Drosophila melanogaster: one gene and its partners. The protein of the gene in region 1 interacts with the protein of each later gene in a pairwise test. Each region holds a gene or a part of one and is shown in the gene's direction. Other genes may lie near its edges.

What was found.
Region 2: the proteins of yip3 (region 1) and qkr58E-3 interact in a two-hybrid assay, tested with the Drosophila melanogaster proteins (one large-scale study listed by BioGRID).
Region 3: the proteins of yip3 (region 1) and Prosbeta1 interact in a two-hybrid assay, tested with the Drosophila melanogaster proteins (one large-scale study listed by BioGRID).
Region 4: the proteins of yip3 (region 1) and CG8671 interact in a two-hybrid assay, tested with the Drosophila melanogaster proteins (one large-scale study listed by BioGRID).

The regions. Positions count from the first base shown.
Region 1 is NT_033778.4:23,243,541-23,247,055, reverse strand, and holds yip3 (yippee interacting protein 3), read left to right. Parts: upstream 1-1,656; 5' UTR 1,657-2,222; coding exon 2,223-2,239; intron 2,240-2,296; coding exon 2,297-2,404; intron 2,405-2,454; coding exon 2,455-2,911; 3' UTR 2,912-3,012; downstream 3,013-3,515. Other genes in the region: RpL22-like (ribosomal protein L22-like), read left to right, coding at 1-271.
Region 2 is NT_033778.4:22,408,658-22,413,500, reverse strand, and holds qkr58E-3 (quaking related 58E-3), read left to right. Parts: upstream 1-1,955; 5' UTR 1,956-2,051; coding exon 2,052-2,208; intron 2,209-2,267; coding exon 2,268-2,389; intron 2,390-2,449; coding exon 2,450-2,814; intron 2,815-2,872; coding exon 2,873-2,962; intron 2,963-3,104; coding exon 3,105-3,190; intron 3,191-3,480; coding exon 3,481-3,614; 3' UTR 3,615-4,293; downstream 4,294-4,843. Other genes in the region: qkr58E-1 (quaking related 58E-1), read left to right, coding at 161-306; PolE4 (DNA polymerase epsilon subunit 4), read right to left, coding at 1,126-1,412, 1,467-1,647; VepD (Ventrally-expressed protein D), read right to left, coding at 4,473-4,718.
Region 3 is NT_033778.4:16,013,284-16,016,470, reverse strand, and holds Prosbeta1 (proteasome beta1 subunit), read left to right. Parts: upstream 1-1,683; 5' UTR 1,684-1,774; coding exon 1,775-1,819; intron 1,820-1,882; coding exon 1,883-2,357; intron 2,358-2,425; coding exon 2,426-2,580; 3' UTR 2,581-2,666; downstream 2,667-3,187. Other genes in the region: EMC7 (ER membrane protein complex subunit 7), read left to right, coding at 12-140, 207-332; Rrp42, read right to left, coding at 441-911, 966-1,131, 1,183-1,379, 1,437-1,493; CG8389 (uncharacterized protein), read right to left, coding at 2,935-3,187.
Region 4 is NT_033779.5:21,261,193-21,265,981, forward strand, and holds the start of CG8671 (uncharacterized protein), read left to right. Parts: upstream 1-1,763; 5' UTR 1,764-1,931; exon of another isoform or gene 1,932-1,987; intron 1,988-2,455; 5' UTR 2,456-2,594; intron 2,595-2,740; exon of another isoform or gene 2,741-2,842; intron 2,843-4,789. Other genes in the region: l(2)k14505 (lethal (2) k14505), read left to right, coding at 43-142, 220-527, 585-765, 821-1,071.

The DNA.
Region 1 (3,515 bases):
GAACAAGCTCAACCAGCTGAAGGATCAGGTCACTTTCGAGCGCACCAAGAACTTCTCGCTGATCATCCACTCCGGTGTGCACTTCTCCAAGCGCTACTTCAAGTATCTGACCAAACGGTATTTGAAGAAGGTCAGCCTGCGTGATTGGTTGCGGGTAGTGTCCACGGCCAAGGACACCTTCGCCATGACCTACTTTAAGATTCAGGACAAGGACTTTGATGACGACGACGACGACGTTGCCGACGACAATGGCGGAAAAACCTTTGCCTAAAACAAAGATCGCATTTCGAAAACATGTATATCCCATGAAAGCTGTTCAAGTGTGTAGACTTCTTAAATTTCTCAGTATACTTCTGTTAAATTTCCCACTTGAAGTTTCACTAGTTCTCAATGTGGCTCATACAATTTTTGCTCATTTGCTTCAACATATTCAACGATGAAATATCAATAAAAAAAAAAAAAACCCTAACAAGAGTATATCATATATGTATGTATTCTCATCCGAAGCTGCAGAGTTCCCTTGAAGAACTTAAAGATTTCATTTTACGGTCAGTTAGGAGGAAGGAGCGGAGCGTTCCTCGGTCGAATCGACTTAAACTTGAACGATTGACATCTCGGAGAGGGCCTCGAGTGGCATTCGTCATGTTTTGATTGGGAGGAGCCAGTCTTGTTTTCCTTACCTTTTTACGCTTTTGTAAATACCTTAAATTGCCCCATTGGACGGGATTGTGTTCGATGCCAGGCGGCTTAATTGCTTCGCTGTGGGTCTGCCAAATGGACGAAACCATGGGTGGGGATCAGAGGGTGCTCCTCTGTCAGCAGTTGGCCCGGCCTGGCCGTAGGTGGTCCATAACGAGCTAATGAAATGCGAATCCAGCCAAAATGCGAACAGCGAGGCAGCCCAGTGGAGTGAGTCAGGCAGGCAGCTGTCAAAATCGAAATCAACCTGAGCACTCGCAGGTTGGCTTCTTTTCGACTTGGCCAAAAGAACACAAAGGCTGGGCAAAATATTCACGATTGCCGCCTGGAAGGGAATACAAAGCGAAAATAAACATAAACGTCATGCAAATCGTATGGTAATTGCTGTCATCGCCGACTCTTGTCAAAACGGGTTGAAGTGTTTTGTAAATGCCAGAAAAAATTAAATTCCAGACATGCAGACGAGTACCAATAATAATAATAATAATGTAATAAGGGGCTTGCGATGGGGGGGAAGTCAAGAGTGATCCACACGCGATTATTATTTTGTCAAATGGGAAAACGATATCGGGCCAAAGCAGAGAGAGAACAGCCTCTGTCAAAAGCCAATTGGCCATTGGTAATTGGAATAGGCCTGACATCCAATGGTGATTAAAGTTAATTGAACTAACACCCATAGTTGATAGATGATGGCGTTCTTTGTCAAACCGAATATACCAACGTAAAAAATACTTTAGCATGTGTTAATTAGCATTAACGCTATTTTATTTAATTAATAGTGCACATTTGTATGATGTATTTCACTCCCTTGAAGAGCCACTTTTTGCAGCAAATAGAGCTGGCATTAAAACAAGTATTAATTTTGAACCCTGTGTCAGGGCCTTATTAATTTGAAAGCAAATCCCTTGTGACATGGAATATGAACCGTGCAATCAAGTTGGCTTTTAATTGTGCGTCAAACATTCAGATCCAGAATCTTGGTAATAGGCTCAAATCCACTCCGATTCTAGGTAGGTTGATCCCTGTTCCTGCTTAGGCTAATTAACACATCGATTACATCGTTGCGCGGACAGTGTGTGTCTTTAAATTGATAGGCTCGTTAAAGTGTCTACCATTCCGAGGCCTTCTGGTCTTGACTTCGCCAACTGGTTGGATCTATTTTTAGGGCCAGCAGGTGCAGCTGCCTCGGAAACTGCGCAGAGACGCGTTTCTCGGCCAGTGCCAACCAGTTGGCGAGACCCCATCATCATCATCGCCATCGCCATCTGAAGATCGCCATCCAGCGTAGGTGACGGACAGCCTCGGGCTGCCAATATCACTTACTTTCAGACAATGGATAGCCACACAGGCGTTGACGATTTGTTGGCCTTAATCTACTTGAGCAAATATTAGTTTTGAAAGGTCTTTGTACCCAGCTCAAGTTTATTTTCTACTTCCCAAGCCCTTTTAAAGTTTTAAAGAATCTTTGCAGCTCATTTAACTGGCACTTTTCTGCTCGAACGCTTTTGGGAGTCTATTTGAAAATGATGGAAGGTGAAAGGTGAGTTTGTGACTGAAATCATATATACTTTTACTTACTAGCTATTGATTCCCACAGTTCCAAGTCGATTCAAGGCAACATCGTGGGTCTTAAGAGTACCAACGCCGTGATACTGGCCACCGACTCGAAGGAATACGAAATGTATCTAATAGATGACCGCATTTAGTAAGTCTATTCAATTTGCAATGCCTTAAAATAACTTATTAATTATTCAGCTGCTGCGCACCTCGTTCCGGCATCGATCGGAACATAGTTCTGGAAGTGAGTTCAAAGGTGGCAAATCTAGTCCGGGATCGCGGCCAGAATGTGACCGTGTCCCAGGTGCGGGACATGTTTTGCGAAAAGTACCAGACCGCCGAATCCCCAAATGTCATGATAGCTGGCCAGGACAGCAGGGGCCTTCACTTATTCAGCATGGAGTGTGGAAAGTCACGCATGGTGATGTATGGTGCAAAGGGCAGAGATAAGGAGAACATTGTGGACTTTCTCTCGAAAGACTGGAATGATTTCATAAACCTCAGCGAGGCTGAACAGTTGGCCAGGAAAGCGCTTAGGTGGGAGCACGTGGAAATGTGCACCATCTATAGGGCTAAAGAAATCGAGGAACAAGGTGCCAACATGGACTTCGATATGGACGACGAGACCTCTGTATCGCCGGCCAGCAATTTCTAGATCCTCCTACTATCTACATGTACATAGTAGTTAATTGTATCATTTCGATTTATGTTCATATAAATGAATGGTGGCTGCTCCACTGCCCCCCCCCCCCCTGTAATTAGCCACATTTCTCAGCGTTTTGCAAGTTGGCCTAAAATAGATTAGCCGCTCCTCCCACTGGAAATGGTGCAGCGCCAGCACAAGTGATTTATACTCCTCCGACCTGGCCCTTGGATAATTAATAATGATTAAAAGCTGGCGCCCATCAGCGGGCTGGCAGCTCAGAGTCCTTGTACCCGCTATGGGTATGGATATATAGCTCTATATAGATCCCCACTAACCAGATCCGCTCGTCTGCCTCCGGGGATCTGGGGACTGAGGCGATGTCCAGCTGTGCGGATTAACTTGAATTTATATGTTGTGGCTGCATTTGAATAATTTCATATTCGAGCTGGCAATCGGGATCTCTATCTTTCTCCTCCTCGCCACGCCCCCTTCCTTTGCGTCCATCTCCCCTGTGCGTGACCAGGCTCCATTTTCCCCTACTCCTGCGTCCACTTGTGTGGTCTTCCTCCATTGACAGCTCTTGGGTGGCATTATGCTGTCTGCTCCGGATTTT
Region 2 (4,843 bases), 830 kb from region 1:
TGTAGTGCATTCAAAACCGGTTAAACAATATATTTTTCTTTTTTTTACAATGTATATATGCTAAGCAAAAGAAAAACCAAAAACCAAAAAACAGCACCACAGAGACAGAACAAGAAACAATTTAAAGTCTAAACAACAAATAAAATTCTTTTCAAAATAGCAAAACCAAGCAACGGTCGTTCATCATCGTCATATCGACCAACCACCTCGGGCTCGGGATCACATTCATCTGCTCACTACGAAACTGGATCCCGATCTCGTGAAAGCGTGCGATATCGCTCGGCTCCATATCCGAAAATACGTTAACCCATCGATTTTCCAAAACCCCAAGAAACCAACCTCAACAACAACTACAACAACAACAACAACCACAACTAAACAATGTTAAGCGTAAAGATTAAAATATATTCCAACGAAATATCAAAATGTTTGAAGTCAACAATCCAACTATTCACACCTATTAAATATAATATATAAACGAAAATCAAATAAAAAACGTAAATTTTTATTGCAACTGTTGTCCGATATTCAAATTGTGTTTAAAATTAAAACAAGAAACCAATAATGCAACAAATTTTATCCTCAAAAAGATTGTAAAAACAAAAGACATACTTCAATCAACCTAATACTAGTTAAAGCCAATACGAGAAGAGAACTAAACACAAGCGAAAACCCCCCCAAAACAATTAATTTATCAAAGCATAATTTTAGACTAAGCTTGAAAATATTGTTTCATAAGATAATGGAGATAAAACCAACATAAAAAGCAAAATATAAACTACAAATGTATGTGCCCAACGACAAAGTAAGTATCGCCTGCGGACAGAGTATGATTAACAAACAACAAACCACACTATTCAGCAGTTAAATAAATTAACCAAATGCCGGCTTCGTTACAAATTCCGAATAGCAAAGAGTATTGTGAAACGTTAAACGTTGTCGTTTATAATTATGATTTCTTTTTTGTTTTTTTTTCTTTGCGAATCAACAATTGTTTTATAACTTAAATATTATTTTTAACATAAAACCATAAGGACGTTTAGAACTGAATTTGTTTGCCGCTGAATATCCCTAAATAAAGTATAAAAGTATAATCGACAAATCCAGTTTCATTTGTGGGGGTGTTCAAAAGTTCATGGCTCCATCAAGGAATAGCAAACTGTCCACAGCAGAAATGGCCATATCCACGTCCCTCTTTTGTATGGTTTTCTTTTTGGACTGCGCCGTGTAGGTATATGATTCCCGTGACAACGAGGCTATGAATAGTTCCACTGCCTTCGCCACTATGAACACGGCCTCATTGTTGGCCATATGCAGATCCGGATCTAGTTTCATTATGTTCCGTATCCTGGCCAACGGCAGTTGTGTCATCTTGGCTTCGTTATCAGCAGGGGCCTTGTTGCCATTCGTCACTGGAAGGAAAGGAGCCATATAGGAGAAATTCTATCTAAGTGCATCTAACTTACCTGGTTTTTCTGTCAATTGTTCTGTTGTAGATTCTGCCTCAGGATTATCCGGCGATTCCTCGGTGATTTCCAAAGGCTCTTCTGTTTCCGCTAGCTCCGCCTCCTCAGTCTCCATGGCCTGCTGATGCTCCAAGTCCTGTTCTTCCGAGAATTCAGCCTCAAATAGTTCCTCGCTGGCCATTGCGCACTATAAAAATTGAAAACAAACCAAGCGAATGCAATCCAAATACCATATTTTTAGAGATGAGTATCAAGGCAGCCGCCAAAAATATCGATATTGCACCATGTATGAAATCGAAATGGTGGCAGCTCCGCTATCTTCTCGGCGAAGCTCCTTACTAACAGATTTAACTTTTTAAAATAATCTATAGTAATTGTACTACTTCTGTGTTTCAAACACGACATTTTGTACACAGTGGAAAAAATCGACATTTAAACAATCACTATTGAATTAAAAAAGTTGGCAGCCCGAAAACTTCACACGCTTGGCAGCTCTGCCATTATTTTAGTTCATTGGTGTACATACTGTTTTTCAGTCTACACCATTTTTAATTGTAATTTTCTGTAAAGATTGTTATGATAAAAATGGAAACCCCAAGCGAGTTTACTGAGAAACAGCCACCCACCCACGATCACCAGCCGCGTCTTAACGAGGTGGCCCAAAAGTTTCTCGCCGATTTGGACGAGGAGCGCCAGCGATTGTCCGCGGACTTTCCACTTTGCGCACTGCTAATCGACGAGGGTAAAATCAATTTGGCCCTTTTACAGGGTATTTTAATGGTACTAATCCCAATATTGCAGCTGTGGACCGTGTCTACTGCACTGGTCGTATTCCCGGAAAAGAGTTCTACGCAGACGTGTACAAGCAGAAGCCGATGAAGATTACCCAAAAGGTCTTCGTGCCCGTAAAGCAGTATCCCAAGGTGGGTTTATACAATTAGCTGTCCTCTCCGTTCGAAAAATAAATCCGTACCCTTGCGCAGTTCAACTTCACTGGCAAGATCCTGGGGCCCAAGGGCAATTCGCTGCGTCGCCTTCAGGAGGAGACCCAGTGCAAGATTGCCATTAAGGGTCGCAGTTCGATCCGCGATCGTAACAAAGAAGAGCAGCTGCGCAGCACAGGCGACCCGAGATATGCTCATCTTCAGAAGGACCTATTTTTGGAGGTCAGCACGGTGGCCACTCCGGCGGAGTGCTATGCCCGCATAGCCTACGCTCTGGCCGAGATCCGTAAGTATCTTATTCCAGACAAGAACGACGAGGTTTCACACGAACAGCTGCGCGAGCTGATGGAAATGGATCCCGAGTCAGCCAAAAACATTCACGGACCGAATCTGGAGGCCTACAGGTAATCTTACACCCTATGCAGCCTTTGGGCATGAGAATAAAAATATATTATTTTGCAGATCTGTCTTCGACAAGAAGTTTGGAGGCAACAGCAATGGGGCTCCCAAATACATCAACCTGATTAAGAGAGCTGCGGAAAATCCGCCCGAGTAAGTTACTTGTAAAGTATAATTTTGTATTATTTAATGACCCCACCAGGAGTAATGGAACCGAGAGTCCTCGCGTCATAGTAGTGCCTTAAATCCTAGCCAACATCTGTTAACCCAGCAATTAACATTTTCATTTTTATAGAGTCGACGATGTGGAGGAGGTGGCCTATGAGTATGAACATCGTATGCCCCCCAAGCGTCCGCCTACGGGCTATGAGTACAGCAAACGTAAGTTAATCCCAAGCATGCATTCTTTATTTGGGTAGTGCCGGGGTCTATGACATAAGATCGATTTTTCCCCTGAATGCACCAGTTTTTTGGGATGCACCTTTGACAGGAACTTTGGGTTATAGATTAGATTAGATCATACTATCAAAACCAATAACTGTGATTGAGCAAGCTCTCAGATCAAACTATATAATACACTGGAATGATTAATATTATGCAACGATTCACTCCTTTATAGTAATTACATACACGCATAAAATACTACAAATAATAATCAACCAATTTTATAGCACGTCCATCAATAATACCGACAAACGCAGCGGCATATAAACGTCCATATCCGACTGACATGAAACGTATGCGCGAACCGCCCATCAAGTCCTATAAGCCCAATCCGTATACAATACTTAAAAAATATAAATAATAGAGCTCCGGTTGATTTCGTCGCACACCGCTATAAATGAAAACAAAGGACAATGCTTACGTTATAAAATCCATGCTGGGAGCACATTGAAAATACTTTAATCAAGAAGAAAGCAGCATTCAAAATGATGCTATCAATTAATAAACATTAATATTTATAAAACGCGCACTTGCGCTATCAATTCCCACAAACAATATTAATCTTAAATTTGTATATCCATAAATATGTTAAACTGTTGGCATGCCTTTTCTGGACCATTTCAACAGATAATAAGTCAAATAATTCCTATTATGTTTAAATTATGATTTCCCGAGTTCGTAATTTTCTATGAATGTAATAAAATGATACGCATTGAATGAATTTAATAAATTCTCTGCAATCAGATCTAACTATCCTATTCTTTTAAATGACTCGACCCCTCATTTACCATGAATATATGCATTACGTAATTAAACAATTGTCTCACTAGCAGTAGAATCAAGAGGTTTATATCTAATGAAATAAAACCGTGCGAACTTATCACATTGTTTAATCAAAAAAAAAAAAAAAAAAAAAAAAAACGAAATGAAGATCACATCAAGACCTTAAAGTGCGTCTAAAAATAAGTTAATAAACTATTATAAATTTATAAATGAAAAAGAAAAAACATTGAATAAACATATAAAGAGTTTGCATAACTAAAATATTTCAGGTTTTTTCAAAGTATTATTTTATTTTAAATCTGATGGGTAAGTAGCTTAAGTTTAACTGTTAATGTCTAAAGTAAGGCTATAAAGTTAATAAAGGCTTAAAACAAATGTCTGTCTATCTTTGGATATATTTTCTATCAGGGATATGGTTTTCTTTTGTGTTGTTCAACTAACATTGATATTGCAAGGGCCTCCCAGTGAAGCTGGCTATCCAGAACTTCTTCCTTATCTCATATTCATTGGCTTCTGTGGAGCGTGTATGTTCCTGGGCTTGTAATCTTAGCAGGATTCTCTGATAGACCTCATACGCAGTTTGGGGCTGTCCACAACGACTGTTGCCGCACTGCTCAGAGAACTGTGGCTCCTCGACGTAAGTATCCTCGATCGAAAAAGGATTCTCGCTGTGCGGTATCATCTGAATGATATGGATGTCTCAGGCCTGATTCTTGACACAACTGATAGGCGAGCACTCACCTTGGCTTTTTTCACTGACGCTGATTTACTCCGCTGACTAGATGTGTGTCCTGGCCGCTATGCAGT
Region 3 (3,187 bases), 7.2 Mb from region 1:
GACCCACACAGATCACCGACTTCTTGTTCAGCCCCATGGTCCTAATGATGGTCTTGCCTCTGCTCCTTATGCTGGTGCTGCCCAAGATGATCAACGATCCCGAGACAAAGAAGGAGATCGACAATCTGCAGTTCCCAAAGGTAAGCCGTGAGGATCATGTATAGCACAGCACTATAGTATTATATGAATCATGCTCTGCTCCACAGATGGGCAACGATATGCCCGAGATCAGCGAAATGCTGACTTCACTGCTAACGGGCAAGCAGCCCGAGCCCAAGGAGAAGAAGCCTGCTCCGGCCGTCAGGCAGGCGAAGAAGCGCAAGGACCAGTAGTAGTTGGCCACCAGATAGCTTTTAGTATTAAGCTTAATCGGAGCGCCGAGCTCCAAGTCAGAGTCAGATCGTTTAAATAGTAAATTTTCATTACAAGACTTTGCCGCTTTATTTAAGAAATCCTACTATTTGCGGTCGCTTGAGTCCGACGCGCTGCTGCTCCAGATTTAGCATTTTAGTGAGCAGCCGGTCCAGATGCTCGCCAATGGCCAGACCCAGCTCCAGACAGTTGCGCATGGTGTCCCGGTGCATGGCTCCGCCGCCGGTCAAGTGTGTACCCGAAAGGAATGCCTGTCCATTCCGCATGGAAACTGACACAACCATGCTCACTGTGCTGCAGACTTCCTCCTCCGCCGAAGGATCCACCAGGACATAATCACCGATCTTGCAAACTGTGACCAACAGCGGAACCGTCTCGATGCCGATGCGGGTGCAGTCATACGGATTGTCCGATATGATGAGGTCTGTGATGCCGGCATCCAACATGGTGGCTGTCACCCGGGGCAGCTTTGTGTTGAACAGAGCCGCTTTGGCGGCCAGCGACACTGCGTCGTGTAGATTGCCGCCACACTCCAGAATCTGCGAGAACAGGGATTAGCATTTTCGGTATAATTAAGCACACTAGAGTCTAACCAGGATGTCTATGTACAGCTTCCAGCACTGCTGACCCGGAATGAGGCACAACGTGCGGTAGTTGAAGGCCAATGGCGATTCGTAGGCGTTCTGCAGGGAGAGAATAAGTTCTTGGGCCAGATCCGAGCCCCCGCGTCCTTCAAACTCCGGCGTGGCATTAGCAGAGCTGAAATATATATGTTATGGCATATTCTTCGAACTTCAGTTGCATCATTACCAATCCACAAAAAATTCCAGTTTACCAAACTCGGGCGTCAGCGGGTTGGGTACATCAATCTCGGTTTTGACGCCCACCAGTATGTCTGTGTTCGCCAGCCGAAGGCGAGCGGATCCACTGGCATTGCTAACCAGTCCAGTTTCCAGGTCCATGGGCCGGTAATCTCGTCGTGAACGTCCATCGCAACGAAAGTCATCCTGGAAACGCATAGTTTAAGGTACAGACTATATTTCTTGCATAACCGTTTAACACACCTCCACGCCGTGTAGAATATATGTTTTTTCAGCTTCGCTCAGTGCAACGTATGCCATTTTAGACTTAATTCAAGAAAACAAATATTCAAAACAAATTCAACATGTGCAATGAACCCACATCGATACTATCGATATACCGCAAAGCAGGGCTGCTGGCACTTCGTTTTTACTTTACTGAACTGTTGTCAGTGCGAAAGGTGTATGTTTTCATTTGAAGCATTTCATTTCACATCGCCATCTGGTAACACTTATCCAAAACAAGCCAGTCATTTCGTGTTCGTGCGGCGTTTCAACAAATATCAATTGTAAATTGAATTGTAACAAATTTAAAGATCAATATGCAGCCCGACTTTGATTTCACCGACACACCGGTCAGCACTGGTGTAAGTATGAAGAGCATCAGCCACATAACTTCGTACTAAGAGCACAATCCTACCTATTTGCAGACCACCATTATGGCAGTGGAGTTCGATGGCGGAGTGGTCATTGGAGCCGATTCGCGCACCAGCTCGGGCGCCTATGTTGCCAATCGGGTCACCGACAAGCTGACCCGCATCACGGACAAAGTGTACTGCTGCCGCAGTGGCTCGGCCGCCGACACCCAGGCCATTGCCGACATTGTGGCCTACTCGCTGAACTATCACGAGAATCAGACCAACAAGGATGCTCTGGTGTTCGAGGCCGCCTCAGAGTTCCGTAATTACTGCTACAGCTACCGCGAGTCCCTGCTTGCCGGCATCATTGTGGCTGGGTGGGATGAGCAGCGCGGCGGCCAGGTGTACAGCATCCCGTTGGGCGGCATGCTGACCCGCGAGTCCTGCACCATCGGCGGATCGGGATCTAGTTTTATCTACGGATTTGTTAGGGAGCACTACCGCCCCAATATGGCGCTGGAGGATTGCGTTACATTCGTCAAGAAGGGTAGGTAATCCCAAAAAAACCAAAACAGTTTCCCTTCAATCGAATCCCATTTAAACCTCCTCCAACAGCTGTCCAGCACGCTATCTACCACGATGGCAGCTCCGGTGGTGTGGTGCGCATTGGCATCATCACCAAGGATGGCATCGAGCGACGCATCTTCTACAACACAGAATCGGGCGCATCGGCTGTTTCCAGCACTCCCAGCTTCATTTCCTCGGAATAAATAGTATACCTACCCAAGTAAGATCGATCAGAGAAAGAGTTGCAAACTCGTCTCATGCTAATAAACCTGGTTTTTGTAATATGCATACTTTAATTTGTATTTTGGCTCTTATGGCAGTACAAAAGTTAGGTCTAGGGGCTAAAATGGTAATAAATAATCGAAAACCTAAACCTAAGATGCATAGTCATACAGATAGTGCTGTTCCTGACACTGGTCCTTCCTCACAACTCAGATAACTACTGCGGCGAGAGTGGAATGTTCCCTACGGGGAAGTCATTTCATCGCCTATCACATGACAGTCAATACCGATATCCTTCGCTTAAACTCTTATCCAGTCAGGTAGTGACCAGAGATTTAGGAGTTGAGTTTGGCCACTTCAGCTGCGTCTATAGACTGCGTCTCCATGGACTTGTTGGTGGCACATCGCTGCCTGCGGTGGCGGTACAATATCTCCGGTGTCCAAACAAGAACCACCACCAGCAGAATGACTCCTTGAGCATAAAGGCAGATTAGGTAGGAGTCGGCGTAGTCTCGCACCCATCCCAGCAGCTGGCCCACTGTGATAACAATAACGCCCTTGGACATCATGCTCAGACCCAGACCGCCG
Region 4 (4,789 bases), on another chromosome or scaffold:
TAAACAGCTGAAGACAAGTAGACAGGCAGACAAACTCTAAAAATGAACGGAAAGTATGTAGTTAGCGCCATCCGAGCTCTCCGGTTGACCAATTTCAGCCAGTGCAAAGGAGCCGCTAGCAGTTTCACTGTGCGCCACTATGGTAAGCCGCGATAGCCAGAATAAAAACGTGTGTTGCCATTTCATAACATCCCGCGATCGGCGGTTCTTCTCCTGCAGCCTCTCCTCCCAAGCGATTCTACAAGAAGACTTCCGTACTGAGCGGCGACAGCGGCTATGAAGTGGTGTTGGATCACCGGAAACTGAAAACGCCCAAGGGCACACCCTTCATCGTCCGCAGCGAACCCCTGGCCATTGCTGTAGCCACTGAGTTCGACGCTCAGAAGGAAAACATCGAGCGTTCCCGCATGCACTTATCCGCGCTCTGCTTCACGGCCATTGACAATCCCAATCACCTCTCCAAGTTGGACATGGTCAACTACCTTCTCAACTTCATCGCCACAGACACGGTGCTCTTCCAGTACGATGTGAGTGAATCAACTGAGAATTAGAGTGCACATTCCACAGACATATATCTTTTGCAGGACGAAAAGGACCTGCAGGACCTTCAGGTGAATGAATGGGACCCGGTGATCGCCTGGTTCAACCAGCGCTACGACACAAACCTGCAGAAGACCATGAACATAACGCCGCCTCAGGTCAGCGAGCAGGATAAAATGAATGTCGCAAAGCATTTTCAGTCCTACAGTTTGGAAACTCTGCATGGTAATGCAGACCATAAGTCTGGAGTTCAACGTCTATTAAATATATTTTCCTCCAGGCTTCATTTTCGCTGTGGACACCTTAAAGTCGATTGTCCTTGCCTGCGCCGTCATCGAGCAGATGCTTACCGTGGAGAAGGCTGTGGCCCTGGCGCGTCTAGAGGAAGAATACCAACTTAAGTTCTGGGGTCGCGTGGAGTGGGCACATGATTTAAGCCAACAGGAGTTGCAAGCACGCCTGGCGGCTGCCGTGCTCTTCGTACACCTTAACTGTTCGGAAAACCTTGTTAAGCAAAAGATAATTCTTTAAAATTAAAATACCTGTTCAACATACATATGAGCTGACTACCACAGGGTTATGGTAGCACGTATGTAGGTCTCCTAGGACCTAGGACATAATAATAGATGTATATAAATCGTGCCTAGTTTGAAACTTATCAAGGTCAGGTCATCCTCCCTTTTTTTTTAGCTCTTACCGGTTTTTTTTTGTTGTAATAATACGGTTTATATTATCATTTTTTCATACTTTCTTTAAGCACGAAAGTAACATACTCTTTTGACGTCTCTTATAACACAACTGAATTTTAGTTCTGATTTTAATTAGTAAGCCACAAGGATTCTGGTACAGCAATACGTGGAGGCAGTGAACATAAGGAAGTACATTAAGTTTTTTGGAACTACACATGTACAAATGTGTAGGATATATGTAACATTTTTAAATTTGAATGAGATTACTAAATTTTAGAAATATTTAGTTTGTTTAATCCTAATTTAAGGTTCGGTTTTTTTGCACCTTGACATAGAACCCTATTTTTGGAACCCATTGGCAAAACATGGACATTTATTTATCTTACTTAAGAAAAAATTAAGTGCTAGTGTAATAGGCGCTTAGAGGAAGTCTCAAAAAACAAAAATAATTAAGCAATTTTTTTTCGTAGGTGTGGTATATTCTGATAAATACTTGCTTGGTATTTTAAAATAGTTACGGTACAGTCCTACTGTACACTGCGGTCACACTGGTTCGGACGTGGGTGGCGCATCATCGGTGGTATTCTGTTGCTAATTAATCAAGTGCAAAACTACATTTTTCGCCAGTAAATCCGAGGAAAGCTAAGTTTGCAAGAAAACAAACGAAAGCAAAGGCAGTTGATAATATTACTGGCGCGTTTGGTAAGCAGCGTCGTTCGAGTGCGTGATTGTTCCAATGTTTGTGCTGGTGTGCGTTTGTGAGTGCCTTTTCACTAAAAAAAAATGTAAAAAAAAGTGTTGCCAAAGCAGTGAGGCATACATTTTCCCAGTCGCTTTGTTTCAAACGAACGAGATTTGCAAAATGCGATTTATAGACCAGAAAACAAATCTGTATCGTTGCGCTGGGGATATTTATCATTTGAACCATCCCTTTTCACTGTTCTCGGTAGAGGGGATGTGAAAAAACCAGCGACTACATCAACAAAAGCGTGTGTGTGAATATAACAATCTCGTTGTTCCCTAGTTTAGTTGCTAAGAAGCATTTTAATAATTGTGAAATCCCAGTACCGAGGACGACAACAAATGTAGATTTTTTCAAAGCACAAACAACTGCAGCACGACGTTCGTCGCCCTTCGGGAGCGGTTGTATTGGTGTTCCGTGCTGTTGTGTTTGTGCTACCACCTTGTTCGATTTTAATGTGTTGTTTCTGTTTTTCACATCAAAGCTCCGTATTTCGTGCGGAAAGTGTAAATGGCGTGTTTTAAATATTATTTCGGATGTGTCTCCGCTATATAATCAGCTGTTTGCAACGTTAGCGTTGACGCCCACATTTGAGCCCACTGTGTGCAGAATTCAACTAAAAGGTAAGTCCGATTGAGATAATTGTATTGTAAGCAAACACCAAACAGTCACACTTTTTACTATTTATATACATGGCTTACAGTGTTACCTCCTTAAACCGAATTTCATGTGTGTACACATTTACACGTATACGCATTGACTTCTTTTGTTCTTTGTTTTTATTCCCTGTCAGAGAGTATATTGATTTTAGGTGGACATTTGCGACCATATAAAATATATATATTCCTGATAAAGAATATTTAATATATCTTCTTTTTCGGTATACACCAGTGTTTGACAGTATATAATTTCGGTTTTAAACAGAAATCTGGATGAAGCTGTTCTATCTTTAATATCAAATTACGGAAAGGGTATATAAGCTCCGGTTTGTTGAAGCTACTATTCTTAATTTTAATTTTAAGTTGGTCTATGCTAATTGTGTTTTATCCTGATTTGTTTTTATCTTTTACTGTTTTTTTTTTGTACATTTTGGGAAGCTGAAACAATTTCTGATTAATTTTTAAAAAAGCGCGCCCTATAGGTAAATTTTACTGTGTAATTTAGTCGAATGATATTGGGCAGATTGGGCATGCAGATTGCAGTGACGTCGGCGGAGCTTAAGAATGTTTATGACTTCGTCTTCTAAAATGTTAATGTTTTTGAAAAAGGCTCTTAGAGAATACAATTGATTTTCTTGCCAATTAAAAAATATAATTCTGTCATAATCGTGGACGTCTGATATAGAATCTGCGAAAGGTCACGCTTTTAACTTTGCGTCAATATTTGGTCACCCACCGTTGGTTTGGCATATAAATTGCCGGGCTTTGGAATTTCAGTTTCGCAATGAAGTGTAAGGTGTGAAAAATGTTTGCAATAATCAAATCAAATCAGCACCAATGAGGTTAAACGGGGGAGGGCAACCCTGAATTGCTCGTTCAGATCTGACTTCGTCTGCTTCTGTAATGAGGATGTGCTCAATTAGATTCAAATCCATGTGGGTTCATAACGAGAAACAGGGAAAGTTCTACGGTTTCGGCTTTTTAGTGCTTTACTAACTAGAAAAATGGAATGGGTGTGCCCTTTAAAATATAACTAAAGAATACAGAACATAATTGGGGCTGTCAATGCCTTTTGTATCACCTTGCTTATTTATAGTTTGTATATTTTATACATATATCAATTTAAGCGGTTTTTGAATAATAATAGGGTATATTGATTTAAGCCAGAACTTTGTGCCGCAGTGAAGTATATAGAGATTTTACCAGATTCACTCGATTTGTTAAAAAGTATGTAAAAGGTTTTGAGTCCTTCCTAATGAACTCCTCGATCTCGGGAACTATAAAGGCTAGAAGTTGATATTAAGCATGCAGATTACAGAGACATAGACGCAGCCCAAGTATGTTTTAAATGTTTCATTTTAATATAGTATTTCCTGATCTGTATCGTAAGACAACAAAATTATGAAACTTTGCGTTCGTATTCCCACTAGCTGAGTAACGGGTATCTGTTAGTCTGGGAATTCGACTTTAGCATTCACTTTTGTTATACCCCTTACTCTACGAGTAATATGCTCTACGAGTAACGGTATGTAATAGGTACGAATATGTAATAGGCAGAATGAGGCGTTTCCGATCATGTAAAGTATATATATTCTTGATCAGGATCAATAGCCGAGTCGATTTGGCCGTCTGTCCGTGTGAACGTCGAGATCTCAGGAACTGTAAAAGCTAGAAGGTTAAGACTCAGCGTATAGATTGTAGAAACAAAGACGCACAAACCGCACAAAACTGCCACGCCCACACTTTTAGAAAATGAGTTGATATTTTTTCATATTTTTATTGGTTTTGTAAATTTCTATCGATTTGCAAAAAAAACTTTTTGCCACGCCCAAAAACCGCATTTACTGCTTGCTTTTTTATAATTTTATAATATAATAATAAAAATTATATATAATATAATATAATATATATAATGTAATATAATAGATAATATAAATAATATAATATAATATTTATAATATAATATAATATTTATAATATAATATAATATATATAATATAATATAATATAATATATATAATATAATATAATATAATATATATAATATAATATAATATATAATATATATATCATAATGTTCATTATGAACTATTTATACCAGTTACTCGTAGAGTAAAAGGTTTTACTAGGTTCTTTGAAAAGCATGTAGGTAGAAGAAA